4 linked regions of the Elephas maximus indicus genome follow. The protein of the gene in region 3 purifies or fractionates together with the protein of the main gene of each other region. This does not show direct contact. Links are inferred from orthologs where the notes say so. Each region holds a gene or a part of one and is shown on either strand. Other genes may lie near its edges. The genes, in order: COPG2, COPZ1, COPA and COPG1.

Region 1 (6,868 bases), on a different chromosome or scaffold from region 3:
CAATCTCATTTATACTGTGATGAAAGAGAGACAGTAATGAAGGCAGAGCATGTTCAGAGCTATGGTTAACAACAATATGTCATGAGAACACAAAGATAACGAGATTTTATTTGAAACTAAATGATAGAGCAGCCTATATCTAGCTTGGAGAGGAGAGGGGAGATTCTGGAGTTCTCCAGAGGTTTTACAGTAGAAGGTTTTAGAAGCATCCCTTGCCACTGAACAATACTCCCACCCAGTCCCAATCAACACCCTTTAATCATTGTCCCTTCTTCTCTCAGAGTCTCTGAGAATGTAGTTTACTGTCAAATGACTGGTTTCTTTAACCCCCTGCCCTAGGGTCTACTAAGTGAGCTTTCTTTGTTAAGGTTTTCCACTGACAATGATTTCAAGAGTGAAGGGGAGTATTCAAAGGTCTATGCCTTGAGGAAACAGAAAAAAATGTACCCTCAGCTTGCCTTTTCTCCAATCGGTAAAAGAGATATGAGGAAAGACGGTAAGCTCCTTTCTTTCAAAGCAATGGTTTATTGGACTGAGATATCGGCTGGAGGTAGAACCTCTGGGGACTGGAGATATGGGCAAATCAGTATTTCTCATGGTGGTCCTAAAGAATATTTTTCCTTGTAGCATAGAAGCTAGGAACTGATCAAGGTGCTAGGTTTTGGTCCCTGCTTATAGCCTTACATGTCAAGAAAGCTCTAGAACAGTATTCCCAAATACCACCACCTACCACTTTAATAGTTTTTGCCATGTCAGTTTAGTATTTTTCTCTTAAAAGATTTTTTTCACTCTTGTCTTAATCAATACTATATCTTTGACATCATGGGTTTGATATACTAATTATATATTTTTCTGATACACATTAAATCAAACTCATAACAATTAAATTTTAAAATGTGTATTTAGGTAGCAGCTAAAACCATCCACGGTATGCATAACACACTTTGGGGAAAACTGGTCTAGAAGGGCCAAAGGATAAGCAAATCTCAGAAGTCCTCAAGTCTCTTTGGGGTTGGGGTAGGGCATTGGACAGAAGGGGCTTGGGATAAGGCTGCATCGAAGAGGGTGCAATGAGAATGCTCTTCATATTTGTGGGGTGCCTACTTAACGTTGAACACTTACCAAGCACCGATAATAGCACTTTAAATACGTGAGACAGATGAACCCGACCATGAAGTCCTTTTATAGTAAATAAATAAGAACTTGGGTTTTATCCAGTAGGCTATTGGGACCTATATTAGGTCACTGAACACACATTTGTATATTATAAATATAATTAATGAGTTCCCAGACTTCACCAGCTGATGGCTTCAAGATAAAGTCCATTCCTCCTACTAGGTTTCTCTCCTCAAGCGATTTTTGAGGCTTCCTAAGAGCTCAGCTGCTAACCAAAAGGTTGGGAATTCGACTCCACCAGCCACTCATTGGAAACCATATGAGGCGGTTCTAATCTGTCCTATAGGGTCACTATGAGTCAGAATTGACTTGACAGCCATGGTTTTGGTTTTTGGTTTTATTAAGGTCTATTTAGGAGGCCTGATAGTGCAGTGATTAAGTGTTTGGCTGCTAACCAGAAAGGTTGGCAGTTCAAGTCCACCAGCAACAGATTTTTTTTTTTTTTTAAGGTAAGTTTACTGTTTTACAGTTATCCTAGTGATTGATTACCTAACACCTTTGCCAACCATCTTCAGGGCAACAGTCCCAGAGGTCCCAGGTTACACCATACCATCCCTTAACTGGTTTCTTCAGGCCTCTCTGCTCCTAGTTACCAACCCACCCCACCTTACCCACTGCCTGTCTTAACTCCCATATATACAGCTAAAGCAAAGCTGTAGTGGTAAACAAAACTTCATGGGTGTGGAGGAAAGCTAAAGGACAGCAGAGAGAGTTATATTGCTTTAAAAGAGGCTACTTACTCTCAGCTTAGCCTCAAACCCAGCCTCAGTTCCTCTAAGCTTCCCAGTGGGCCTCTAGTACGTTACTTGTTCTTGGGAATCTCCTGGCCTATCTACCTGTTTCTGCCAAGGCTCCTAATACCCTTGGCCCAAGAAAAGGAAGAGGTTCTCCTTCCTTCCCCCAAACCTGTTTCGTTTCAGTCCCAGTAAAAATGACAATGAGACCATCTATTTCCTGCAAGGGAAATTCTTCCTGGGAAGTATGGTTTGAACTTTATAAGCCAGATAAGGCAAACGTAATAGTTGAGAATCCATTTAGTAAAGTTAGAGTTAAATCTTAAATGATACCATATGTAAGGATATCAACAGTGCAGCTTAAATTCATATTTAAAGGCAGAATTTCTCTAATTTTGCAAGGGCATGGTCCTTGTTCAGGATACACCCAATTTACATTTCTAAACAGAATGCTTAATATCTTGATCTGCAGCATCTATTAGAGTTATGACTTCATATTTTCCATCAAGACAAATGAGTGGATACTTGTTTTACTTATGTGAAGTTGAATCAGTGTCTCCACTCGTGGCAAAAGAGAAGGCTAGCAGTCTCCCTCCCCGCAGTAGTGTTCCATGTTTACCAGGCATCCAAAGAAATAAAGATCATAGAGAATGGTTTGAGGCAGGGCCAGGAAGGCGGCTGTCCAAGAAACAGCTGATGAAGACTTGAGCTAAGGAGTCAGCAGTAGAGATAAGGAACAGATTCAAGGGTCATCTACCAGGTATACCCAGAAACCACACCAGCTGTTGTTGAGTCAATTCTGACTCCACGTGTGTCCTAGTAGAACTGTGCTCCACAGGGTTTTCAATGGCTGATTTTTTGGAAGTAGATCGCCAGGTCTTTCTTCCAAGACACTTCTGCATAGACTGGAACCTGCAACCTTTGGGTTGGCAGTTGAGCGCTAAAGCGCTTGCACCACCCAGGGAGGTTTTACAAGGTATAATGCATCAAAAAAGTGGGGAGGGATTGAAGGAAGAAGATCCCACAATGGAAGCTTGAAAGAACAGAACAGAGATTGAAGGAGAATCTGGATAAAATGTTTTAACTGAAGCCAAAAGTAGAAAAAGTTTCTTACTTACACTGTCTGACAAAGAACCGACAACAAACGGGTTAGAAAAAGACTGAGAAACATGAATATACACGTGCGTGCAAGTTAGCCTAAAGAGTTATGTAAGAGTGTGGTTGAAGATGGAAAAACTCAGAAGAGGTGGATTAAATGAGGGGACTGTAAACCAGCGGTGTGTTTTAAACTGGTTTTTGAAGAAGCGACGAAAACGTTTGACAACGAAGGCTGGAAGGGTAGTCCGCGGTCCACAATCTACCCTCTTGGTTAAAGTAAAGACCAGCTTTCTGGTCGGTCACGCTTTGCATTAAGCGCCCTTGTAGAATCCACATTCACCTCAAGGTGCCCTGTGCTTTGTTGCAGCTTCCAAGAAGTCAGCGAGTGCAGTGCCGACTTCCCAGGCGATCTGGGAACCACTCACCCTGTCATCGCTCCTGGAAGAGAAGCCCACCAGAACTGTGCCGGGGGAGAGCGCGTTCCGCAACGGAAGAGCCCAGCAGTGGATCATAAATAACGCCACTCTCATTAAGTGAACACAAACCCTCCAGGCCCCCCTCCCGCCTCGGTCTCCAGACAGGGGTCTGCAGACGTCGCCATCTGCGGCGTGCCATCCAAATAAAATCACATTCCTGCTTGCTCCAGGCGTGGGCTGCCGGGTCGCTGGCCAAGTGGGCAGGAGAGCCCCTCGCTCCGACCTGTCACCGCCCAGGCCCCGCCCCGCCCATGGCCCCGCCCACGCCCGGCTGAGGGCGAAGAGAGGGCGTGGCTGCGGCCCTCCCCGGGCGAGAGCGACGGCCCGCGGCCGGGGGCGGGCCTTCTCCCGGAGTGACGGGCCGGCCGCCCAACCGGCGGGAGCGCTCGGGGCCTGCCTTCCTGCAGCCTCTTCCGCTTGCCGGCTGCTGCGTCTGGGATGGTTGCGGTGGGTCTGGGCGCTGGGAAGTGGGCCAAGATGTTTAAAAAATTCGACAAGAAGGACGAGGAGTCTGGTACGCGCTGGGCCGCTCACGCACACCCTTGGCTGTGGGGACCCCTTTTTGCGCCGCCCTCATGTGCTCCGGGCACGGCGGCCCCGGGGGCGTGGGCACCGGGGGCGTGGGCACCGGTGTGCGCGCGACCCCTCCCCTCGCTCCCGCCGGGGAGCGAGCTTCCCCTGGCCCCTCCCCCAGCGGCCCCGCCTGCGCCCCTTCCTGGCGGCCCCGCCCGCGCCCCGCCCCTGCGCCCCGCCCCCCAGCGGCCCCCCGCCCCCCAGCGGCCCCCCCGCCCCCCAGCGGCCCCCCTCTCCGGCTTAGCCCCTCCGAGCCCCTCCTGGTGGGGCCGTCAGGAGTGGAGGCGGGCTCACGACAGGTGGAAGGAGTGCGTGCGCATGTATGAGAGGCGGGGGTGCTGGGGGTGCTGGGCCCCTAGTGGGAGCACCCTCTTTTGGGCCTGGGGTCGACGGGAACAGCATGTGTGTCCGTGTCCAAAGTTGAGGTGCCTTCTACCTTACAGTCTTTCTTGGGACCTGCCTGCCCCATGGAACATAAGTCAGTGCTCTAGCATGCAGAAGTGACTTTCGTCTTGTTGCCCATCTTTAATCCAGTGGAAAGGGCGAAGAGGCCAAGCCACCTCCACATTCTCAGCTGCCCTCACAAAGCATGGGAGAGGGTGGGGTCCGTTCACCTCCATGGGCCCTTCCCGCTTTTAAGTTGCTATGGTTCTGTGCTGAATTCTTCGTTTCTGCCTCTCAGTACGTGTTATAAGCAAATAAAAAATAGTGCTCGCCTTTAGAGAAATTAGAGTGCCCCACCATCATCTCATTCATTTTAATTGCAGTGGAAATGGCAGATAGTCATAATATTCTTGTACAAAGAGGGCAAGCAAAGAAGACATTCTCATTTCAGGCAGGGTTCCAGCCAAAGAGAAGTCCGAGATCTTCCAGGATAGCAACGACAGAGATAGTGCCAGAATGAAAATACTTTCATTCCATTTACATGCATATTAGTAATGATTATCACTGTGATATCCAAGTGGTCACCTCACTTTAGTGAGATTTCCCAAGCATTCAGTGCCCTTCTGGTGGAAGTAAATACGCTTATGCAGAACAGCTATTACAGATGTCTTTTGTTTTATCATATAGGGAGTGGCTCCAACCCTTTTCAGCATCTGGAGAAGAGTGCTGTCTTACAGGAGGTATGGCTTGCAAGTACATCGTGCTCCTTTCTTTTCTATTTTGTTTTAGAATGGCGGGCAGAGAACCCCTGGGATGCTACAATTGGGGCATCCAAAATGAGACATGAATGTAACTGAGTTCAGAGAATGTAGACTTGAGAGGAAAGGAAGAGGGGTTACTTGCCATGGGAGAGTTTAGAGCTTTTAGAAATGTAAAGACACACAGACTCTGCTACATGCTGGGAATTTTAAATGTCAGAAGACGTGTTTGGTGTGAGGTTATTGAAGGAAGTTATAGATATTAAGCTCCCTGTGTTTATATGATGCAGTAAATATTGTGATTTGTGGTAAATATTGTGATTCTTATTTACCAGATAAAGTTCAGAAAGTTGAAGTATTAGATTTAATGGAATGGGTTGCAAAGTACAGAATGGAAGATCAAGGCTACGTCTAATAATTTCTTGTATTCTATGATACATTGAAGACTAATGTTTTTGGATATTGTGATTAAAAGTTGGTTTGCTGTCATCTGTGATAGAAAATGTAGAAAATATACTATATTTTTTTTTTTTTTATAGGCTCGTATATTCAATGAAACTCCCATCAATCCAAGAAGATGTTTGCATATTCTTACCAAGATTCTTTACTTACTGAACCAGGTAAATTATTTTTAGTTTTTCTCAGGTTTGTGTCCTGGAGTAGAAATACATAGCATGGAGTGAAGTACTTTCTGGAAAGTACTTATCTATTTCTCTAAAATATTTAACATAATAACATGTAAAACTTCTTGAGGACAGGAATTATAACATATAGTTATTTTGTGTTCATGAGATACTAAACCAGCTGACCACATGGTAGATTCTCAATAAATACCTATTGATTTGAGTTTAACAACAACAGCAACAGCAAAAAACCAAACCCGTTCCTGTCGAGTCAATTCTGACTCATAGCAACCCTATAGGACAGAGTAGAACTACCTCATGGGGTTTTTAAGGTTGTAATCTTTACAGAAGCAGACTATCACATCTTTCTCCCATGGAGTGGCTTGTGGATTCAACCTGCCAGCCTTTCAGCTAGCAGCTAAATGCTTAACCAGTATGCCACTTTGAGTTTAACAGGTACTAGTTAATGTTAGTATAAATGTTTACATTCGTTCAGAGATCTTTATATCTCTCCAAAAATACAATGCAAAATCTCAGGCAAATTCCAGGTAGATATTTTACCTTTCTTGGGGAAGGCGGGCAAACCCTGGAGGCACAGTGGTTAAGAGCTATGGCTGCTAACCAAGAGGTCGGCCATTCGAAGCCACCAGGCACTCCTTGGAAACCCTATGGGGCAGTTCTATTGTGTCCTACAGGGTCGCTGTGAGTCAGAATCGACACTATGGCAATGGGTTTTGGGAAGGTGGACGGGTAGGATAGATCATCAAAACAAAACAAAACAAACCCATTGACATCGATGACAATGGGTTTGATTTATTTACTTATTTTTTGTATGTATATACACCCCCCCCCCCCGTTTCCATTTGGTGCTGAGTAAGAAGACTGGTTTCCAATTTGAATTCCATGTGAATATTTTATCATTACTCTGTTTCTTGACTGAGAACCTTATCCATAGATTTAATAGTTTTTGTTGTTTGCAAATGGAGGTTGAGCAGTAAGCACACACTTTTTAAATAAAATGTATCTGTTCACTAACATTTTAGTCT
Region 2 (7,251 bases), on a different chromosome or scaffold from region 3:
TTATTGTAGTGAAAAGATTTTTTTTATTAGTGCTAAACTATATACACACGTTTGTTGTTACAAAGTCCCACTATACCAACACATATAAAGAAAAATTATTTAATAATCCATTCCTTCCATCTCACCCTCTAGGGGTAGCCTATATTAGTACTTCTCTTACACATCTTTCTTTATATTCTCTCTTCCTAGAATACATTTCCCCCCAAATAACAATATGGCTCATTCCCTTACTCATTCTAGGTCTTTTATCAAATATCTCCTTCTTATTAAGGTCTTCCTTGATCATCTATTAAACCTCTTTTCTGTCACTTGCTTCTCTTCAATTATGAATGGTATCACTCCAAATTGTGCAATGGTTTGCCCCCCTTCTCCTTTTAGTTTTAATTTTCTCCATAACACTTATTACCACCTAACATCCTTTATGGAAACCCTGGTGGCATAGCAGTTAAGTGGTATGGCTGCTAACTAAAAAGTTGGCAGTTTGAATCCACCAGGTGCTCCTTGGAAACCCTGTGGGGCAGTTCCACTTTGTCCCATAGGGTCACCACGAGTCAGAATGGACTTGATGGCAACAGGTTTTTTTGGTAACGTCCTTTATAGTTTACTTATTTCTTCAGTTTAATTTCTGCTCCTGCTGCCTAGCTAGAATGTAATTTCCATGAGGGCAGGGATTCTTGTCTGTTTTGTTCACTGCTATATCCTGAGTGCCTAGTGTGACTGATATCCAATAAATATTTGTGGAATGAAAGAGTATATTTACAGAAACATACAAACATCCAATACTCGTCTGTTGGTTTGTAGTTCTGTGGTGGTCTACATGTTGCTAAGATATAGGAACCTATGCCGCTGGTATTTCAAACACCAGTAGGGTCACTCTGGCGGACAAGTTTTAGCAGAGCTCACAGACTAAAACTAGGAAGAAAGACACGGTGGTCCACTTCCAAAAATTAGCCAATGAAAACCTACGGATAGCAAGTGAACAAATCAGTCTTAGAAGAAATACAACCAGAATGTTCCTCAGAAGCAAGGATGGCAGAAACTTTGGCTCACTTACTTTGGACATGTAATGAACAAAGACTAACCACTAGAAGAAGACATCATGTGTGATAAAGTAGACAGTCAGTGAAAACCAGGGAAACCCTCATGAGATGGAAAGACACAATAGCCACAACAGTGGACTCAAACATACCAACAATCATGAAGATGGTGGAAGACTGAGTAACATTTTGTTCTGTTATACTAAGGTCATCATGAGTTGGAGCCAGTTTGATAGCAACTTAAAACAACAATAACATGCAAACATAGTTAATTCATTATTAGAGTCTGTTATGAATTGAATTATGTCCCCCCAAAATGTGTGCCAACTTGGCGAAGCCATGATTCCTGGTACTGTATGGTTGTCCACCATTTTGTGATCTGACGTGATTATCTTATATGTTGTAAATTCTAACCTCTGTGGTGTTAATGAAGCAAGATTAGGTTACATTAAAGAGGATTAGGGTGGGATGCAACACCCTTACTCTGGTCACAGCCCTGATCCAATGTAAGGGAAGTTTCCCTGGGGTGTGGCCTGCATCACCTTTTATCTTCCAAAACCCATTGCCAGTTGAGTCAATTCTGACTCATAGTGACCCTATAGGAAACCCCCATAAGGTTTCAAAGGAGGGGCTGGTAGATTCAAACTGCCAACCTTTTAGTTAGCAGCCTCAGCTCTTAACCACTGCACCATCAGGGCTCCAAAAGGGGTAGAAGTGAGCAGAGAGTTGGGGACCTCATACCACCAACAAAGAAGCGCCAGGAGAGGAGCATGTTCTTTAGATCTGGAGTCCCTGCACTGAGAAGCTCCTAGACCAGGGAAAGATTGATGACAAGAACCTTCCCCTAGAACGGACAGAGAGAGAAAGACTTCTGGAGCTGGTGCCCTGAATTTGGACTTCTAGCCTCCTAGACTTTGAGGAAATAAACTTCTGTTAAAGCCATCTACTTGTGATACTTCTGTTATAGCAGCACTAGATAACTAAGACAGTCTTAATTTTTTTTTTTAATGAAAAAAATGGAATCACACCATATAAATTACTCTGGAACTTACTTTTTTCATTTAGCATCCCATGGATATTTCTTCAGTTTAATGCATATAAATCTAACATTCCTTTTTATTAGTTGCATATTATTTCACAGTCTGGATGTACAATAAGTTATCCAATTATTCCTCTGTTGATATACAATAATGTTATTTTTTTGCCATTGTAGACAATGCTGCAATAAGCAGTCTTACATATGTATGTATGTACATACAGTCTTATACATGAGTGTACAGACACACATGCGTATACTGGGTTGTTTTTGTTTTTTCAGGAGAAGATATATTCATGTTTAATTTTTCACCGTATTGACAGAACACTTTCCAAAACCTCCAAGTTTGATTATCTCCTCTCTGCTCCTCACCAGCAGCTTTCTCTCTAGTCTTCAAATAACCAAGCATAAGCACCCCTGATTGAACTCATAGTCAACTTTCATGCCTCTTGTTTTATGTAAAGTATCTTAATCTGGATCTTCCCCAAAACTTGGCTGAAAAACAGTCAAATTGGAACTTGCCTGCTTTGAGATGGCTCAGATTGTGTCTTTCAAAGGTCCTCCCCTAAAGAGGTTACATGTGACAAAGAGGGTCCAGTTTCCAGCCTCATCAACTGAAGCCTTGGGGTGGATCTCTGCTTCCTTAAACTATAAGCTTCTAAGTTCAGGCTTTCTCAAGTCCATAGATAATGGACCTTCTGGCTTTGTTTCCAGGGTTCAGCATCTAAGCAATTCCAAGAGGACAAAGTGATAAACTAAGCTCAATCAGGTATAAAAGAAGTAATTTCTCACACACCATCCCCTCAACCTTAGCTGACTTTTCCAATTTATATTTGGGGCCCTAGATTATTGAGGCTTGTCACTTGGGACTTCACCAGAATGTCATTTAAATACCTTCCTTCATAGCATGTATTAGCTCTGTAGTTTGTTTTTGTACTGTTTTTTTTTTTTTTTTTTTTTCCTTAGGTCCTATGACTGTACTCCAAAACAACTAGAAAAACTCTTGGATGGGTCTAGACTGTCTTCTTGGAGGGATTCCTTAAAGACATAATTGTCAGAGACGAAAAACAAAAATCCCTTTAGGAATAATATGAGATAATGAAAAGTGTCTCTGATCTAAGACGGTCGGGAACCAAGGAACCAAGGGGTGGGGGAAAGTCAAACTTCATCAAAACCCTTCCCCGTTATGAAATCTCTGTAGTCAGTAAACTTCTCTTTTCTCATTTTGCAATGGCTTGTCCCTACTGGAAAACCACAGACCCTGCTCCCCATGTCCTCCCTTATCCTGGTCCCTTTACCCCTTTTGTCCTTTCTAATCTCTCCTTTCTGGTCTCCAAAGCTCTAACATCCCATTTCATATCAGGCTACAGGAAAATCTGCTTTTAGAAACTCCCTAGCTTCTCCCACTTCCCTCGGCCCGGCAAAGCCTGGGACTACATTTTGGGGAGATTGTTACTGTGGTGATCAACTCCTGTCTCCGTGGTTCATCTAGTTAACACGCTGGGCATCTCGTCTGCACACTCTATGGTTGTGCAGACTCTGTGAGGTCACTAAAGTGACCTGAGGAAGCTTGTGGGGGGGGGCGGGAGCTAGCTGTGGTTGTCACAGCAACAGACCCGTTGCAGTCTAGTGGGTTCCTACTCATAGTGACCCTATAGGACAGAGGAGAACGGCCCCATAGATTCTCCAAGGAGCGTCTGGTGGATTTGAACTGCCGACCTTTTGGTTAGAGGTAAGTCCTAACCACTACGCCACCAGGGTTTCCCACAGCGGATAACACAGGGATTCGGGTAGGATTCTGTCAGAAGCTGTCAATGTTAAGGGACAAGGGGGAGCATAGCGCCCCCTAAAGAGAGTGAGGATTAAAATGTCTAAAGCTGTCGGACAGTATCACGTGATCTCTGCCCTACCAATTGAAAATGAATAATCGCATCCTCTGTTCCCCATGGAAACAGCCCCGCCCAACTGGCCCTCCCGCCCTATTCCGTCGGGCCATCTTGGCATTTTATTGAGTGTTCAAACTGACAATCAAATGTCTGTGCCTTCTGACTGGACACCTTGCTTCCGCTAAGCAAGATAGTACAATGATTGGTCAATAGGGCAATGGCTGGCATTCTGTAGTCCAATGACTCTTATCCTGGGCGGGGCCTAATGGGGACGTAGGGCCAATCAGCGGCGGCGTTGCTTTTGCGGCTCCACGTCGGCACCAGCTGCGGGGCAAGATGGAGGCGCTGATTTTGGTAGGAGCCGGAGGGGCCGCGGAGAGCTGCGGTGTCCAGAGGGGCCGGTAGTCAGGGTTCAGCCCGACTGAGAGGGAGGAGAAGGGGGACTTCTGGGTAATTATCGGGTACTGAAGGTTCTGCTGGCTCTGGAATGAGTATGTGGCCTACTGCAGGAGCTAAAGCCTCGGATTAGAGTAGGAAGCCATGGGGGAAAGAAGGCATAGGGTTGGTGGAAAGTTGAGGGGAGCACATGGAGTCCTCAGGATACATAGAATTGCAAGCGTACTGGATTGGGGCCCTTCAGGTTCCCCCTAATTCTTAGCATCTCCTAATTTGAGTTTTCTCAAATCTCCAAACTCACCCCAAATTTTAAGACCAGAGTTCAGGTGTTTTGTCTCTTCCGGATGGTTGTCAGAGTTTGACTCTTCATCCTTTGTCACATTCCTTCAAAAACTTTTTTTTCTCCTTACATCGGTTTCCCGTTAATCCTTCTTATATATGCCTGTCATGAGAGAGAATCATTGTGTCCATCAAAGCTCTGGAATACAGTTCTTGATAAAGTTAGCATAGATTGTGCAGTGTTTTTCTAGACTCCTTATTCTTTTTTTCCTTTTCCCTCCGTATTTAGACTTTAGGAACTTTTATTGTAGGATCTGATATGCTGACTCCCTCTTCTGGCAGTATGAGAATTTGGGTGGCTTTAAAGGGGTTGCATTAGCTCCTTGGTCCATAAGATCCGTTTTGCTTGTTTAAATGAATGAATTCCTTAATTGAGTTGAATTCTAGGCCTCTTTCCAGAGCACCTTTTCTTGTTCTTTCCTTCTGACCTAATACACATACACCTGTAGATCCTCATCAGCTAAAACTGAGTAATAGGTTTCTATACCCCTCTTTCAAATTGGTATAGAAATCATTTTGTTCTCATCATCTAGGTTGGCCCAGTGTAGATAGAAAACTTAAATTGCAGGCAGTTTTTAATATATCTTGTTTTCAGGCAGTTACCCGGTATTCTTAACCAGTTCACAGATTTAGGACAGATGCTAGGGAATTGGTTTTTTTGGAAGTTTTGGGGAATTTTTAGGCTCCCCTATTTCTGTTTAGAAGGAAGCCTGCTTGGAGGTAAAAGAGTGAGGGAGATGATACTTGGGGAGGCTTTTTAACAAGGCACCTGGGTCTCTCTGTAATGCTGAATCCAGGGAGTTCTGTGTGAAAGAAAGTCTTTGTCACATTTTCTCTTACCTCAGTTTCCTGTTCCTGCTTCTGCAGTGAAGTCTGTTTCAACCCACTTCTTTCCTATATCCAATTAAATGCCTAAGATGCTGCGTTCATGGTATCTCTGCTGACTTGGTTAGATACCTCCGAACTTTGGTTTTGAAACTATGTTGTAGTTGATTCTGACTCATAGCGACCTCGTGTGTGTTAGAGTAAGTAATGATTCTTTATTATGAGGAACCTATGTAATGGGATTTAGGGAAAGCAAAGTATAGGGAAAAGGGCTTGCTCAAGAAACACAGTGTCAGAACTAGGATTAGATTTTTATTTCTTCAACCTCCTAGACCAAGTTTCTCTCTGATGTGTTACTGAGTTTGTCTCATCATGGGCTTTCCACCTCTTTATGGAATATTGTCCTTTCAGCCATCAGTTACATAAACCTTTGGACGGAGACAGAGTACCAACTCCTGTACTGTACCAGCTGCCAGGGTTCTTCGGATATTAAATGCATTTCCCTTGCTCTGGGTTAGCTCTTTCCAACATTTTTTTGCTCCTTACATTTTAATTTATTTTTGTCCCCCAATTAAAAATATATATACTTTCCCCGCATCCATCCAGCCTTTCTCAGCTGGAGTCTTATGAGAGAATTAATCCATGATGCCCTCAGGCATCTATTGTAAAATGGAATCAGCTTATTCCTCTGCATCGAGAATGGCATTAGTTATGTACCATCCTTGGGAGAAATGAGAAAAATAGTCACTTCAGTAATTTTTTGTGTTCTGTGCTTCAGATGAGGAACCCTGGGTGAGAGTCAGGTGATATTTCCTAAATCTCTTTCTCACCTCACTACCCTCATATACTGGCCCACCAAGTTAGGTCCATTTTATTAAGAATCAGAGCCCAGTTGGTGCAGTGGTTAAGCGCTCAGCTGTTAACTAAAAAGTCAAACCTACCAGCCGTTCCTCGGGAGAAAGCTGTGGCAATGCTTCTGTAAAGATTTACAGACTTGGAAACCATGTGGGGCAGTTCTCTCTCCTGCAGGGTCTCTATGAGTCGGAATCAACTTGATAGCAGCGGGTAAAAAATCACCTTTCTTCACTGCTTCTTTTTATCTCATTGCCTCCTCTGTCTACTCAGCATCATCTCCTGATTCTTAGGTGGCCATCTTCGTTATGAGAAGAATGAGGAATCTCTGAATTTCCCCTTAGATCTCTACTGAACTAAAGAGTTTACCTGAATAATATTTAGCAAGCCACTTCTTGGAACAGATTGCTAACAAAATTTCTTTAGGTTTCCTCCCTTCACATTTTATTTCCTGGTTTGGTTGAACCTCTGGGGAAGTCTTATGAGAGCATATTCTTCTATCCTCACCTCACTTCTACAAGGCACACAGAGAAGGGAAGGGTGAGCTAGGGATGGTCAAGAAGAACTATTGACCAAAATTTGCTCTGATTATGGGAATTTTTTTCTTTTTTTGTACTTTAGATGAAGGCTTACAGAATGAACTAGTTTCTCATCAGACAGTACACACATTGTTCTATGACATTGGTTAACAACCCACGACATGTCAACACTCGCCCTTCTCAACCCTGGGTTCCCTATTACCAGCTTTCCTGTTTCCTCCTGCCTTCCAGGCCCTGCCCAAGGGCTGGTGTGTCCCTTTAGTCTTGTTTTGTTCCATGGGCCTGTTCAATCTTTGGCTGAAAGGTGAACCTCAGGAGTGACCTCTTTACTGAGCTGAAAG
Region 3 (7,632 bases):
GGTATTAATGCAACACCCCTCTGACGCCTCTGCATGGTGCCCTGTATATCAGGACCTTTCTACTCTGGCTCATAGAAACAAACTATTCCAAGCCCTGTGTGAGCTCCACAGACTGTTCTGCTTTTTACTTTCCAGTGGTTCTTGCCCAGGCCCTGAATAGTTTCCTCACATGCACATGCAAGGAGTCCTCAGTCAAAGACCCAAGGGGACCCCATGCAGATCTCCAGTCATCTCTGTGCAACTCTCTCCACTGGTACTTTGTCCAGCAAATTCTAGCCACCTTGGCTTCCCTGAACACTAAACTCTTGTGTGTTCAACTCAGCGAGACCACAGGGCTCTTCCTCCTTCCTGCTACTGTGGCCTGGAAATTCTCTTCAGGCAGCAAGCTAAAACAATCATAGGACTCACCTCCTTTATCTCCCTTCTCTCAAGGATCACTCTCCTGCACTGCGTGTTGTCCAGTGTTTGAAAAGCTTTGTTTCATACATTTTGTCCGGTTGTGTAGATATTTAAGGTTGGAAGATAAATCTGGCCCCTGTCACTCTACCATGACTAGAAGTGGAAGTCCCCAAAGGTAACTACTATTAACAGTTTGGAGTATTCCTTTTCAGATTTTTAATGTAGTTACATACAAACGTAGATCTTATTCATTGTATGAAAATGGGGATCACATTATAATTTTCTGCAAAATTCTTTTCTCATGTGGCTATATATCATAGATCTCATTCTGTTTAAGTACACATAAACATAATCTCACTCTTTAAGTGTACTGTACAAATGCATCACATTTTTAAATTATTTTACTGATGGGCATTTAAGTTTTTTCCTCCACTTTTTGGCTATCAAAAAACAGGACCTAATAAAAAACGACAACAATAAAACAGGACCTAATGAAGATACGAGGAGCCTGTGGCCTCAGTGGTTAAGTGCTCGGCTGTTAAGCAAAAGGTCAGCACTTCAAACCCACCGGCCACTCTGTAGGAGAAAGATGTGGTAGTCTGCTTCCGTAAAGATTACAGCCTTGGAAACCCTATGGAGCAGTTCTACTTTGTCCTAGAGAGTCACTCTAAGTTGGGATCAACCCCACTGCAACAGGTTTGGTTTTTGTAATGAAGATACTCGCCATGAGTCTGAATGGACTACATGACAACTAATAACAACAAAGACACTTTCACATATAACGTAGCCTATCTGCACTATCACTGTTTTAGGCTAAAGACCTGGAAATGGAATTGATTGCTCAAGAATAGGGTATGTGCATTCAAAATTCTGATGATGGTTGTTGTTAGCTGCACTGAATCTGAACCAACTCACGGCAACCACATGCAAGAAACACTGTTTAAATGCAAAAAGGGTGGATCAGTATAGACTCTCACCAAGTTTATAAAGGTACCTGTTTCACCGGACTTTGGACAACATAAGATGTTATCCGTTATTTGCTGTTTTGTTAACCTAAGACAAAAAAATGTTTTTGTTTTTTTGCATTTCTTTAATTAGTGAGGTGTGGCATATTTTCATTTGTTTATTAAACAATTACATTCCTAATTCTAAATTTTTCATTCTATTTTTCCATTGGGTTGCTCACTTTTTACCTTTATGATATACCTCGTTATCTGGTGCCACGGAGCCAGTTTTGACTCATGCCATCAACCCGTTCCCCGGGATTCGATTCCAACTCACAGTGATCCTACAGGACAGAGCAGAACTGCCCTATAGGGTTTCCAAGGCTGTAAATCTTTACATGCCACATCTTTCTCCCACAGAACGAGTGGCTGGTGAGTTTGAACCACTGACTTTTCAGTTAGCAGCTGAGGGCTTTAACCACTGCACCTCTGGGGCGCATTCTCTCTCTATAAGAGAATAGTAACTATTCACATTTTACAGATGAGGAAACAAATTTAGAGATGTTAAGTACGTCGCCCAAGGTCACATACAGCTTGTTAGTGACTATTTCGGGATACTGAAGCAAGTTCATCTCATTCCAAATACCAAGTTCCAAACCACTTTGCTATGCTGCATCTTATCAAATACTGCTGCTTTAATTTCTTTTCCAGTTCTCAGCAGACCTGACTTCCTTGCCTTTGCCATTAAAACACTCTAAAAGACTACTGCTGCGATTTCAGCCATTTGCCCCCAACTCCACCCCTCTCTTCTACACACTCAAGCTCTAGGGTTGCCATATTTAGCAAATAAAAATACAGGAAATGCCCAGTCAAATTTGAAGTCCAGATAAACAAAGAACGATACTAAAAAATTATTCGTTGTTAATCTCAATTCAAATTTAACTGAACGTCCGGTATTTTACCTGACAATCCTGCAAAGCTCAGATTTTACTGAGAGCTACAGACCTCAAAGTCCTGTTTTCCGGTAAGAAACAGACCCTAGTGGAAGCACTGGGTGGTGATATGACGCAGCCAAGGCTTCCTTAAATGAGGTAGCCAGTGCTCGTCTCCAACAAAGCTACTGACTCGGGTGCCTGTGACAGATGGAGACTCAATCCCCAAGACCACTCCCCACAACACGATCAGCAAAAAGACAAGAGGTTACAAGACCTTACCGGCAGAAGAAAGTCGCGGCCACAGCCCCCAGGAGCATGAGAGGGGAAAGAACAGGGAACTGACCTAAGGGATTGCGGGGCTGGAAACCACTCTGCAGGTAAATCAGGGCCCGAGGACACACCAAAGAGGAGACTGGAGAACGGCCCTCCAGGCCTAACTTCCCTCCCTCCCGTCCTCCTCAGGGTCCGTCGATGGGCCAAACTCAGCCAGCATGTCTACTCCCTTTCTTCCCCCGTGACAGCGCCGCCCGTGACATCCAGCCTCCGTGCTCCCCCTTTTCTTCTCCAATACCTTTGACCCGCGCGCTCTTGGTCTCGAATTTGGTTAGCATCCTCCCGACCTCCGGTTCCGAGGTCCTACTCCGAGGCCCGCCACTCCCTGCTGCCCTTTGGTTGCCTCCACGTCAGCGTCCCTCCGCAGTAGCCACCGGAAGCGCCTCAAGACACGAACTTCCGGTCTCTGGAGCTCTGGGCCACAGAGATGACGCCAGTGGTGGCCTAGAGAGGCCGCTACCAGACTGAAGGGGAACCGAGGCTTCCGCTCAACTGAGAGGCAAGATGGCTACGGCTGCGGGCGGCTGTGAGGTTGTACGGGGAAGTCAGGGTCTTCTTCACCTTCTGTCTTTCTGCGTCCTATTGGCAGGTGAGGCCTCCCATGCCCGTGAGCTTCGCTCTGTAAGAACCCTCCGGATCGGCCCAGCAGCTAGCGCCGCCGTCTCCCTTTCTGGTCCACTGCCCCTCTGTCCCCCCGCCCTCTAAATCCTTTTTCTCTTTCGTTCCCGCGACAGAAGTTCCCCCCTTTTCCTGGACCTGAAGGCCCTTCTCCCTTCGGCACATTGTGCCGCTCTCTTCCTACTTCCAGGCCTCTTCCTGGACTTCCTGCCCGGCTATCTCCCAGTTTGTCCGAATGCTGATTTTTTCGCACGGCCCCAGCCACCCTATCCACAATCAAAAGAGACAGGTGTCGGTGTTCAGCTTCCTTCCCAGAACGTTTTGACTTTTTAAGATGAAACCAGGCTCGTTTTGTGGGTTCAGGGCTTAGGAAGGTAGATTCCTCGTTTCTTCCTCTGTTGGTTTCACTGTAAACCCCTGGCCCTCTGCCTTGCCGCAGTTTCTTTCATCTGTAAAGTGAGACTTCTGATATGGGTATTCTTAACTGTTTAGACCCTGAAGTAATGATCCAAGGAACTTTATGAATTTGTGGTGTGCAAAAGTGTTTGCTTACTTGTATTTATTTTTTGATACATGATTTTCTACTTGTTGGAGCCTTAAAATGCAAATATGCCTGTATGTAACCATGACTGTGCCTTCCTCCAAATTCGTATTGTGTTTAAAGATCCCAAATGAGAAATTCTAGCTGCCCCCCACTCTGGGCACACACAAACCACCAATTGGCGCTTTTGGTGTAGTTGGTGAAGAGTTGATTAACTCTGACAGGTGTGTGTGTGGCATAAAGTGTCTCCCAACTCTGTTCCTGTTGAATATACCATGGCCTGCCAGAGGAACGAACAAATCAGCCTTGGAAGAAATGCAGCCAAAATGCTCCTTAGATTCGTAGATAGCAAGACTTCATCTTGTTTTCGACATGTCATCAGGAAAGACCAATTGCCAGTAAAGGGCAACATGTTTGGTAGAGAGTCAGTGAGAGCAAGGGGAACCCTCAATGAGATGGATCGACACAACAGCCTCAACAGTGTGCTCAAACATGTCAAAGATCACGGAGATGGCTCAGGACCAGGCATGGTTTTGTTCTTTTGTTCCACTGCACATAAGGTCACCATGAGTCAGCCAACTCGAAAGCGCCGAACACCAACAACAAGGTCTATTCAGGCTCTTGGAAAAGTATCTCAGAAAGTTTTTGTTTTTGTAATCTGTACCCCATTATTAACTAATTATTAATATACATACAGGACAGAAAAGTAGACATATGATCAACCACGCAGCCAGAAGCTGACACAGCTGAGGCCAAATGTGCCTTTTCTTTGACAAATCAAGTTTTCTCTCTTTTAGCTTCAGAATCAGCTTCTCTGTGTGGAAATTGTAATAACCCTCTGAAGCACTAGTTGAGTGCTTTGTAGAGCATGTATCTGCTTTAATAATGTGCCCAAAAAGTGAGAGGAATGGATATTCTTCCCATTTTAGAAAATGTGATATTGAGTGACTTAATGCAGTAAACTCATGACATAGCAGAGGCTAATATCAACGTCTCACAATTTCTTCTAACACTTTCTGTTTTCTCAGGTTTGTGCAGGGGAAATTCAGTGGAGAGGAAGATCTACATCCCCTTAAATAAAACAGCTCCCTGTGTCCGTCTGCTCAATGCCACTCATCAGATTGGCTGCCAGTGTGAGTTGGGGTTGGGATTTGTGTTTGTGGCCAATGATATTTTAGTCTGTGCCCTAGATATAAATTAAGATCCATATCCTGCTTGGGAGACTCGGCACTCAAATTAAACTGTGTGGGCAGGAAGTGATAGAGAACCATCTTGCAAACCAGGCAAGGTAATTAATGAGAGCTAACACTTAGTAAGTGCTACATACCCAGCTTTTTACATGAATGTCTTATTTGACCCTCATAACAACTCCATGAGGTAGGTCTTATTATTTTAAATAAAGATCATGAAAGCAAGGCTTAGAGAAGTTGAGTAACTTTCCTAAGGTCATGCTAATAATAAGTGATGAAGCCAGGATTTACACTGTAGTGGTCCAAGGTCAAGGAGTCCTGGTGATGCAGTGGTTAAAACGCTTGACTGCTAACTGAAAGGTCAGCAGCTCAAACTCACCAGCCGCTGCGCAGGAGCAAGATGTGGCAGCCTGCTTCTGTAAAAATTTACAGCCTTGGAAACCCTATGGGCAGTTCTACTCTGTCCTGTAGTTGGAATCAACTCAACAGCGGTGAGTTTGTTTTTGGGTCTGAGTTCTAAGCCAAGACTTAATCATCCTACTATACTGCCTTCTAAGTAGAAGTCTCATATCCTGTGGAGCCTAGTCATCCTCTGCCCTCTGAATGATCTTTTTGGAACCAAAATGGGCTTCTTAAAAACAGTGAACTGAGAAGAAGGCATTAAGAATGCCAAATAGTTGTCAGGAAGAATTAGTAAAACGTTCAGACTTGTCTTTATGCTTTGTGACTGTGTTCCAAAACCGTGGCAACATGGTTCTAAAAATTATAGACATCACAGAGGGAAAAAAAGGTGTGATGTGAAGGCCAAACCCCAGTTCCTCTGCTGCTTAACCTGCTGTCTTTAGATTTTGTTCTTTCACGGCCAGTGAGTGTAGTTTCACAGATAGGCAGGAAACTCAGGGCCCTATCTTGCTTCTTCATCATCAAAAAAATTGAATTTACACCTATAAAAATGGCTAGACTAGTCCTGCACAAAGCTGAAAATCAGAGTACCTTTTATAGGTGTTTATACAAACCCTGGGAAGTGTCTGTGTATACACTATACGCTATTTGTCCCATGTCCCTGTACAGAAAGTACTGGGACTGAATTGACTGGTTCCAAACCACCCCAAACAGAACTTCTGTTGGACTTAGTTCCTTAACTGCATTTGCAGGTGGAAAAGAGCCAGGTCCAGTATAGACTGAGATCAGACTGCTGGTCTTGCTAGAACCTCACTGTAAGTATCAGAGGCCAGGAGTCCATCCTCCTGGATCTGGGCTCTAAGAAATCCCCTCTGGGAACAGTAATGCACAGAAGTGTTTGCTTATATGTATTTGTTTTCGAAAATACAACTTTATAGTTGGTGGAAGCCTAAAATGCAAACATGCATTTCCTAGCGTGTTCTTGGAGCAACTCTGTGGGAAGAAAGCAATAGCCTTTAGAGAGAAAGCCAAGTTCCAGTACAGAGGAATGAAAGGGAAGGGCTGGACTCTGGCCATTCCCTCATTAAAGCCTTATTTCCTGTTTCAGCCTACTTATCTGTAAGTCTTACCTCATCATATCTGTCCATTCTGAATAGGCTACAGCTTCTTTAATTAGAGTTTTAAGCATGATAAAGCTAAAGAAAAATAGTTTGATTTTTTTGGTTATAATAGCCATTCTTTTAGGCTCTTTTCTTTAAGATGTTCAAAGTTCTCTATGTAGATTCTTTTTTTTTTATATCTCTCCTCACAGTATGAGATGACTAGAGAGTTGAAAAGCTTCTCCCCAGAGAAAGTAAGCAAGTTAGTTAAGATTATGTAGTCACTGATTGGAACCCAGAATAGAATACAGGTTTTTTTTCAGCGCAGCGTCATAGCTTGTTCTAGTTCTTTCTAGAGCTGAAGTTATATATTTTTTATTTGCTAGACTATCTTTTCCTTGTCCCACGTTTCAAATGCTGTGGCAAGGGCTGTTGTCTTTTGGACTGGGCTTTAAACCAAACAGCTCGAACCCCTGCTGAGAATTTGCATTTCTAACAAGTTCCCAGGCAATGTTAACGCTTCTGGTTAGGGACCAGTGGTTCTCAAAATTTGTTATACGTGACAATCACCTGGGGATCTTGTTAAACTGCAGATTCTTATTCAGTATATCTGGGGCCGAAATGCAAATTCTCAGCAGTGGTTCAAACCAGAACGAACTGTTCAAAGCCCTGCTTTTGGGGTACTTAGAACTGCCATTGGTATCTAGGTCCTTACTAAAGTTATTCCAGACTCTGATATTCTTCCGTGTTTCATCATTATCACCACCGACGTGAATTTATGAAGTATTTACTATATGTAAGATATAGTTGAATGTTGGCGACCCTGCCTCTGTATCTAGATTTTACCAGATCCAATGGGAGAAAAATTTTGCTCATCTGGCAGTCCACAAGTGCTTACGGGTTTTGTCTCATTCCCGTTGCAAGTATTTCAGTGCCTTGGTGTAGAACCATAGTTCTCATGGCCGGCTATATTTAATGAAGAACCATATGTGGTATGTTTTAAATTGTGTTTACCTGGGCCCAACCTTTGGAGATTTGTGTGTAGTAGACCCGAGGTAAGGCCCGGGCATCTGTGTTTTTTTAAAACTCCAAAGTGATTCTCATCCACAGCCAGGGTTGAGAACTGCTCTAAAATAATTTTTGAATAATCCACCTAGTTATGTCTCTGCA
Region 4 (7,914 bases), on a different chromosome or scaffold from region 3:
TTTATGTAAGTGAGGTCATAAAATATTTGTCCTTTTCTGACTAACTTATTTCACTCAGTATAATATCTTCAAGCTCTATTCATATCATAATATGTATCAAGACTTTGTTTCTCTTACTGGCTGAGTAGTATGTCTTTGTTTGTATGTATCCCATTTTCTTCCATTGTATGTACCACATTTATCCATTGATGGGCATTTAGGTTGTTTCCACATTTTGGCTATTGTAAATAGTGCTGCAACTAACATTGGTGTACAGTATCTGTTTGAGACTCTGCTTTCAAGTCTTTTGGATATATACCAAGGAGTGGAATTCCTGGGTCATATGGTAGCTCTATTTTTAGTTTTTTGAGGAACTGCCATAGTGTTTTCCACAACAGCCGTACCATTTTGCATTCCCAGCAGCAACGCATAAGCGTTCGAATTTCCCCACATCCTCGCCAACATTTATTATTTTCTGATGGCTAATGACATTTTTTTTTTTTTTAATGACATAGATCATCTACTCATGCGCTTGGTGGCCATTTGAATTTCCTTTTTGGTGAAATGTCTATTCAAGTCCTTTGCCCATTCTATGATTGGGCTGTCTTTTGGTTGTTAAATTGTCGAAGCTTTATATATTTTTTGGCTATTAGATTCTTATTGGATATATAGTTTCTGAAGATATTCTCCCAGTCAGTAGCTGGTCTTTTCACTTTTTTGGTAAAGTCTTTTGATGAAAAGAAGTTTTTAATTTTTAGTGGTCCCCTTTATTTTGTCTTTTGCTGTCTGTGCTTTGTTATTTTATTATATTGCCCCTGCATTTTCTTCTAAGAATTTTGCAGTTCTGGTTTGCACATTTAGGTCCTTAACCCATTTTGAATTTGTTTTTGTATATTTTGTATATGGTGTGAGGCATAGATCCTGTTTCATTTTACTGCATGTGCTAATCCAATTTTCCAAACACCATTTATGGAAGAGATTCTTCTTTCCCCACTGAATGAACTTAAAACTGTTGTCAAAATCAGTTGAGCATAGACGTGTGGGTTTGTTTCTAGACTTTCAATTCTATTCCATTGGTCTGTGTGCCTATTTTTATACTAGTACCAGGCTGTTTTGATTAATGTCGCTGTATAATATGTTTTAAAATTGAGAAGTGTGAGTTCTCCTACTTTGTTCTTCTCTTTCAACATTGCTTTAGCTTTTTGGGGCTTCTTGACATTTTATATAAAGTTGAGAATTTGTTTTTCCATTTCCATAGAGAAAGCTGTTGGAATTTTTATTGTGATCAAGTCGAATCCATAGACTGCGTTGGGTAGTACTGACATCTTAACTAATGTTCCCATCCATGAACATGGAACATCTTTCCATTAATTTAAGTCTTCTTTAATCTCTTTCAGCAGCGTTTTATAGTTCTCATTGTATAAATTTTTCACATCCCTGGTTCCTAGGTATGTTATTCTCTTGGATGCTGTGGTAAATGGAATCATTTTCCTGACTTCCCCTTCAGATTTCTCATTGTTGATGCATAGAACCCCAACTGATTTTTGTTAGTCGACTTTATACTCTGAACTACCGTACGACCCAGCAATTCCACTTTGCTAAATCCTTTTTTTTTAATTGCTGTAAACGTATATATGACACATTTGCCAATTCAATATTTTTCACATGTACAATTCAGTGATATGAATTATATTAATCATGTTGTACAACTATAGCCAACGTGGCATTTCTTTTTGGGGTAATAAAAATGTTTTGGAATTAGATGGAGATGATGGTGGCACTTTTTTTTTTTTTTTACTATACTAAAAGCCACTGAGTTGTACACTTTAGAGGGTTGAATTTTATGATATATGAATTGTATTTAAAAAAAAAAACTCAAAACTATAGAATAATGTCATGGATTGAACTGTGTCCCCCAAAAATGTGTCAACTTGGGTAGGCCATGATTCCCAATATTGCATGATTGTCCACCATTTTGTCATCTGATGTGATTTTCCTACATGTTGTAAATCCTATCTCTATGACGTTAATGAAGCAGGATTAGAGGCAGTTATGTTAATAAGGCAGTACTCAATTTACAGGAAGAGGTTGTTTCTTAAATCAATCTCTTTTGAGATATAAAAGGGAGAAGTAAGCAGAGAGACAGGGGACCTCATACCACTAAGACAGCAGCACCAGAAGCAGTGCACATTCTTTGGACCCAGGATCCCTGCGCTGAGAATCTCCTTGACTAGGGGAAGATTGATGACAAGGACCTTCCCCCAGGACCAACAGAGAAAGAAAGACTTCCCCTTAGGCTGGCACCCTGAATTCAGACTTCTAGCCTCCTAAACTGTAAGAGAATAAATTTCTCTTTGTTAAAGCCATCCACTTGCAGTGTTTCTGTTATTGCAGCACTAGATAACTAAAAACAAATAATATCATAACCAGGATACTGACATTGATACAACTCACCAATCTTACTCAGATTTCCCCAGTATTACTTCTACTTTCAATTCTAATACTCTATGTTTCCGCAAAGGACTTAGCAATTACCTTGAACAACATATATATATTTTATTTAAAAATAATAATTATATCAAATATAAGCTCACACATAGAGCTGGAGCCACAACCCACAATTCTCATTATCAAAAGAGTATTGTAAAAATTGTCCTTTGTATAAAGTTTTATAGAATTAATATCATAACATAAAAGCCTATTTTGTCCCAACACAATTCATCTGTATTTCACCATCTTAACAATTCAATTCTCTAGGGTTCTTTCTGGTTTCTAACCATGAAGGATTTTTATTTCACCTTAATTATGAACACTTTTACACTCTATCCTTTTTTGATACCTTGATTATTATGAGAAGTTTGCATGTGGTCTCCCAAGTTGCAAGAAACATCCCTTTGAGAGGATGTACCACAATGTTCTTTGTTGTTGTTGTTGTTAGGTGCCATCAAGTCGGTTTCAACTCATAGTGACCCTATGCACAACAGAACGAAACACTGCCTGGTCCTGCGCCATCCTTACAATCATTGTTATGCTTGAGCTCATTGCTGCAGCCACTGTGTCAATCCACCTCGTTGAGGGTCTTCCTCTTTTCCACTGAACCTGTACTCTGCCAAGCATGATGTCCTTCTCCAGGGACTGATCCCTCCTGACAACATGTCCAAAGTATGTAAGACACAGTCTCGCCATCCTTGCTTCTAAGGAGCATTCTGGCCGCACTTCTTCCAAGACAGATTTGTTCTTTCCTTTGGCAGTCCATGGTATATTCAATATTCTTCGCTAACACCACAATTCAAAGGCGTTCAACTCTTCTTTGGTCTTCCTTATTCATTGCCCAGCTTTCACATGCATATGATGTGATTGAAAATACTATGGCTTGGGTCCAGTGCACCTTAGTCTCCAGGGTGACATCTTTGCTCTTCAACACTTTGAAGAGGTCCTTTGCAGCAGATTTACCCAATGTTCTTTACCATCCCCTTATTGGTGGGCATTTAGGGTGTTTCTAATTATCTTGCTACAGATTGCTGCAGTGGGAAACTTTGTTTTCTTCTTTTGGATGGCTTCCTCAGGATAATGATTGGAGCTACTACTGGTTAAAGGTTTTTAATGTCTTTCTGGGTCTTGACAATTTCACTCTGGCTCACGACTGGCTCGTCCTCTCCCCAGCTCCCTCTTTCCCACAGGCTTAACCTCTGAACTGCCTAAGCTAAAAGACTGGCCCCTTCCCGGACACCCCTACCCCAGCCGTGCTGTCACCTCCACCTTCACTTGCAGGTCTCTGCCCCTGCACCCTGCCGCTCCTTCCAACCCCCGACTCACCAGCAGGGCTCCTTCACCTCCCTGCCAGACTGCGGGCTTCCCTCTCCCCAGGCCAGGTGATGACCTGCGTCCCAGCGCTTAACCATCCAGACTCGGTTTTGCCGCAGCGAATGCAATTGGCATGTTGGGACGCACCGTCCTTACCTTAGCCACACAGTGTCCGGTGTAGGTCCCCTATCAGGAAGATAAACCCCCCCCAAAGATAAACCCTAGTGATGTCTTTTTCCCTTCCTCTCCCGCCCCCAGCGCCAGGCGGCGCATTTAGTAAGTATTAAATAAAAGAGCAACATTGAAATTCCACACTGACCTTTTAGTTCCTTGTAAGTTAATAAAATAAAAAACAATTTGCACCAGGAGCAGATAAGATGAGAGTGGGCACATATGAATTATAACAGCAATTAAATGCATTAACTCGTTCTACAAGAATTTATTGTTCACATACTATTGCCAACATCATCCTCCGCAGTGAATAAGACAAGGAAAACAATAAAAACATTGTGTGCTAGATGGTGATTCGAGTCAAGGAGAAAATCAAGCAGGAAAGGGAGACGGAAAGTAAGGAGTGGTTAGCGAAGCTTACCGAAAAGGTGACAGTTATAATATTAATCCATAAAACTCATTGCCGTTGAGTCGATTCCGACTCACTGCGAGTCTATACAGTAGAATTGCCCCGCTGACTTTTCAAGGCTGAAATCTTTGCGGAACCGGACTGTCCCATCTTTCTCCCACAGCGGCTCGCGGGTTCAAAACCCCAAGCTTTCGGTTAACAGCCCAGAGTTTAACCACTGCTCCACCAGGGCTCCTTAATAACAGGTTACTTTAATTGGGTGGGACGGCAGGCGAGCGTGCTACGGACCTCACAGCCGAAAGCCTGTTTTAAACTCACTTCACACGCAATGAGGCAGGGGCTGCTACAACTCCCAGTGTACACAGCAGGAGGGCGTAAGGCGCCGAGCTAGGTCGCCAGCCGTCCCGAGCGTGAGAGGCTTCAGCCCCCCAGGTCTGCGGCCCTCTGACCTCTTCGGCAAGTACAGGGTTAACGCAAAAAAAAGGGACAGCGGCGGCTCAGGCGTGCGCATGCGCAGAGTGCGGAATGCGCCTGCGCAGAGCCTCGAGCGACGTGGCCTGGTCGGAGCCCGGAAGTGGCCGAAGTGGAACCTCCGCCGGGCAGCTACTCCGAACCGCACCTGCCGAGCCCAGTGCTGCATCGCGCCCTCGCCGGCCCTGCCATGCTGAAGAAATTCGACAAGAAGGACGAGGAGTCGGGTGAGGGGACCCAGCAGGCCTGGGCCTGGGGGAGGCCGAACCCCCGCGCAAGCTTTCGGGACTCTGCGCTGACTGGGAGGCCGAGGCTCGGGGAGGGGCCGGGGCTTGTGCGAAGATCCGCAGCTGGTCAGTGGCAGGCCTCGGAAAGCCAGAGCATCCTCCGCGGCCCGCCACTCGTAAGCTCGGACTGTGACCCGCCAGGTGACCTTGGGCGAATCACACTCCTCCCTGGGCCTCAGTTTCCCCATCTGCCAGAGGAAAGGCTGGGCCGAATGCTCCTCTTTCTTCGCCTGGCCTTTCGGGATTCGCCGGGACCGCGCTGGTTCTGTCCAAGCTGGAGTGTAATCTGTGGAGCCTCTGTCTTGTGGCTGAGAACCCTGACTCATTCATTCATTCATTCAGCAGACACGTATTGAGTACTTTATGTCAGGCTTTGTGCTGTGTCCTGATACAGCAGTAGAACAAAGCAGACACTCGGTTCTTGAGCTGGAAATGTTACAATGGAATGAACAAGATGGTCACAAGCGTAGTGGAGGAGACAGACATCAACCAGAGAGTCACAAACGTGATTATTACAAATGTGACCTCTGTTATGAAGGAAACTTAGTCAGGAGGAAATCGTGGTCCCTGGTCCATAGTAGGGACTCAGTAAAGTAAGGGTTGTATGAATGAATACAAGCCATGCCACCATGAGAAACAGAAGGAGGAGCGTACCAGGGCTGCTGGGTGACTGTAAGTGGTTTGGGTTAGGTTGGAGGCCCCTTGCAGGAGAGTGGTAGGATCTATAGGCAGACTGTAGAGCCTTGATTGCCGTTCCTGAGGAGTTTGAACTTTGTTGGGTAGACAATAGGGACATCTTTCCCTTCTCTGTGTTTGATAGCTTTGAAATTCAGGATGGTACTCAGTGTTTTCTATTCTCTTTAACTGTAGGTGGAGGCTCCAACCCATTCCAACACCTTGAGAAGAGTGCAGTACTCCAGGAGGCAAGTGTCATTTGTTCCACTCTGTCTTCCATCATAAATGTTCATGGTGGATATGATGGAAAAAGCAACACATTCAGTCCTGATTAGAGAAGTGTAGGAGAGAAAACCTGTGCCTGGAAAGACAGAGAAACTTTTCTTCTTGGAGAGATGATGCCTACATTTTTGTTGTTAGTCATTTCACCTTCCATTTAATAAGCATTTCCTAAGTATTTGTTGGTTATAGGTCCACACATCACTAATATTTAAAAAAAGGTTGTTAATAGATGAGTTAAGAAAAATAAAACTTCTTATGGAAATAAGCCTGTTTAGGCAAGTGTATTTATTTACCCTGGGACTTCTCAGAACCTTGAATGTGCTTGAAGGTAGTCAGTGGAAAGGAAACAAACAGGGCTAGAAGGTAATAGCCTTTGTTGCTTTTTCTTAGGCCCGTGTATTTAACGAAACTCCCATCAACCCTCGGAAATGTGCCCACATCCTCACCAAGATTCTCTATCTCATAAACCAGGTAATAGGGTGAGGTTTGAGGGTGGGGAAACTGGTGTTGAGGAGAGTACACAAGTTATCATCACTTTAAGTGATTTGACAGCCTTCGTGTGGTTGCAGCCACTGGCTCAGTTCTGGGTCGCCTGAGCACCCAGTGTGTTAGCCTTTAATGGAATTTTTGCAGGGTCCGAGGATCTGGCCTGGGCTGATCCAACAGGAAGAGCCATCTGTCCCCTCTGTCCCAGGCTGAGGCTTCTTTCTTGATTACCACAGGGGGAGCATCTGGGGACCACCGAAGCAACCGAGGCCTTCTTTGCCATGACCAAGCTCTTTCAGTCCAATGATGTAAGTACTCCGACCCCAGCTTTCCTTAAGGGGCCAGTTTGTGACATAGTCGTAGGAGACCCCCAGAAAACTGGCCCCACCAGTCAGCATGGGATGCCTTTGTGCAGACTGGAGTTTTCTTTTCCTAACTCTGGCCCTCATACTAAGCCAGAAGTGATATACGGCTTTTTCCATCTCTTTTGCAGCCCACACTCCGTCGGATGTGCTACCTGACTATCAAGGAAATGTCTTGCATAGCAGAGGATGTCATCATTGTCACCAGCAGGCAAGTCTTTGGGGGCAGTGGATGGCTTCCCTGATGGATTCATTGACACAGAGGCCATTTTTTCTCTTGTGTGTACCATGCTTTTGATGCGTATTAGACTTTTGTTTGGCATAGCTGCCTGGTGCCCTTTCCTCTTCTGTCTCCTTCATCCTTCAGGTACTGCTGCCAACCCTCAGGGAGTACTGTGCCCTTTTAATTCTCCAGCCTTAACTTGGGTACAACCCCTTCCTTCCCTTAGTTCCTCATGGTCAACTGAACCAGCCTGGAACTTTCACAAAGACATTAACGGATGCTAAAAGAGAACACTAGGAAAATAGATGTAGAGAATGCAAGTGGTATACAAACAGGCTTGCTTACTAAGTACTGAATTCTGCATTAGGCTGAGTGATTCAGGGGACAGATGTGACTAAAGTGTACCTTGCCTGTAAAAACTGGGACGTAGTCCTCTTCTTCTTGCCCCAGCTTTTTTTTGGGGTGGGGGGGCAGGGGGTGGGGTATACATTCATTTATATGTTCATGTAGAAAATATTTATTGCATGCCTGCCAATCCCTGAGTGTATCTCTGGGGATATAGCAGTCTCTGCACCTCCAGAACTGGCAGAGAAACCCCCAGGCACTCAGGCATTGAGGTCGGGTGTCCTCGCTTAATCATGGGAAGTGTGACCAGGGGGCCCCCAACTTGAGTTTGAATCAGGAAAGCCTTCTCAGAAGAACTGTCCAAGCAGAGTCCTAAGGGATGAGTAAGAACTAGCAGGATGAAGTGGAGGTGAGGGGTGA

The links.
Region 1: the proteins of COPA (region 3) and COPG2 fractionate together in Homo sapiens (co-fractionation; 4 studies listed by BioGRID and IntAct, with this or other methods). This does not show direct contact. The link is inferred for Elephas maximus indicus from reciprocal best matches to the Homo sapiens genes COPA and COPG2.
Region 2: the proteins of COPA (region 3) and COPZ1 fractionate together in Homo sapiens (co-fractionation; 6 studies listed by BioGRID and IntAct, with this or other methods). This does not show direct contact. The link is inferred for Elephas maximus indicus from reciprocal best matches to the Homo sapiens genes COPA and COPZ1.
Region 4: the proteins of COPA (region 3) and COPG1 purify together in Homo sapiens (affinity purification with mass spectrometry; 6 studies listed by BioGRID and IntAct, counting the BioPlex papers as one, with this or other methods). This does not show direct contact. The link is inferred for Elephas maximus indicus from reciprocal best matches to the Homo sapiens genes COPA and COPG1.

The regions. Positions count from the first base shown.
Region 1 is NC_064826.1:19,142,319-19,149,186, forward strand, and holds the start of COPG2 (coatomer subunit gamma-2), read left to right. Parts: upstream 1-3,864; 5' UTR 3,865-3,922; coding exon 3,923-3,998; intron 3,999-5,128; coding exon 5,129-5,181; intron 5,182-5,738; coding exon 5,739-5,819; intron 5,820-6,868. Other genes in the region: TSGA13 (testis-specific gene 13 protein), read left to right, coding at 369-496, 3,376-3,545. UniProt on the Homo sapiens protein: The coatomer is a cytosolic protein complex that binds to dilysine motifs and reversibly associates with Golgi non-clathrin-coated vesicles, which further mediate biosynthetic protein transport from the ER, via the Golgi up to the trans Golgi network.
Region 2 is NC_064822.1:109,811,481-109,818,731, forward strand, and holds the start of COPZ1 (coatomer subunit zeta-1), read left to right. Parts: upstream 1-4,239; 5' UTR 4,240-4,295; coding exon 4,296-4,313; intron 4,314-7,251. UniProt on the Homo sapiens protein: The coatomer is a cytosolic protein complex that binds to dilysine motifs and reversibly associates with Golgi non-clathrin-coated vesicles, which further mediate biosynthetic protein transport from the ER, via the Golgi up to the trans Golgi network.
Region 3 is NC_064821.1:199,026,540-199,034,171, forward strand, and holds the start of COPA (coatomer subunit alpha), read right to left. Parts: upstream 3,020-7,632; 5' UTR 2,890-3,019; coding exon 2,850-2,889; intron 1-2,849. Other genes in the region: NCSTN (nicastrin), read left to right, coding at 3,116-3,200, 4,799-4,903. UniProt on the Homo sapiens protein: The coatomer is a cytosolic protein complex that binds to dilysine motifs and reversibly associates with Golgi non-clathrin-coated vesicles, which further mediate biosynthetic protein transport from the ER, via the Golgi up to the trans Golgi network.
Region 4 is NC_064838.1:41,579,154-41,587,067, forward strand, and holds the start of COPG1 (coatomer subunit gamma-1), read left to right. Parts: upstream 1-4,910; 5' UTR 4,911-5,024; coding exon 5,025-5,061; intron 5,062-5,991; coding exon 5,992-6,044; intron 6,045-6,468; coding exon 6,469-6,549; intron 6,550-6,800; coding exon 6,801-6,872; intron 6,873-7,057; coding exon 7,058-7,137; intron 7,138-7,914. UniProt on the Homo sapiens protein: The coatomer is a cytosolic protein complex that binds to dilysine motifs and reversibly associates with Golgi non-clathrin-coated vesicles, which further mediate biosynthetic protein transport from the ER, via the Golgi up to the trans Golgi network.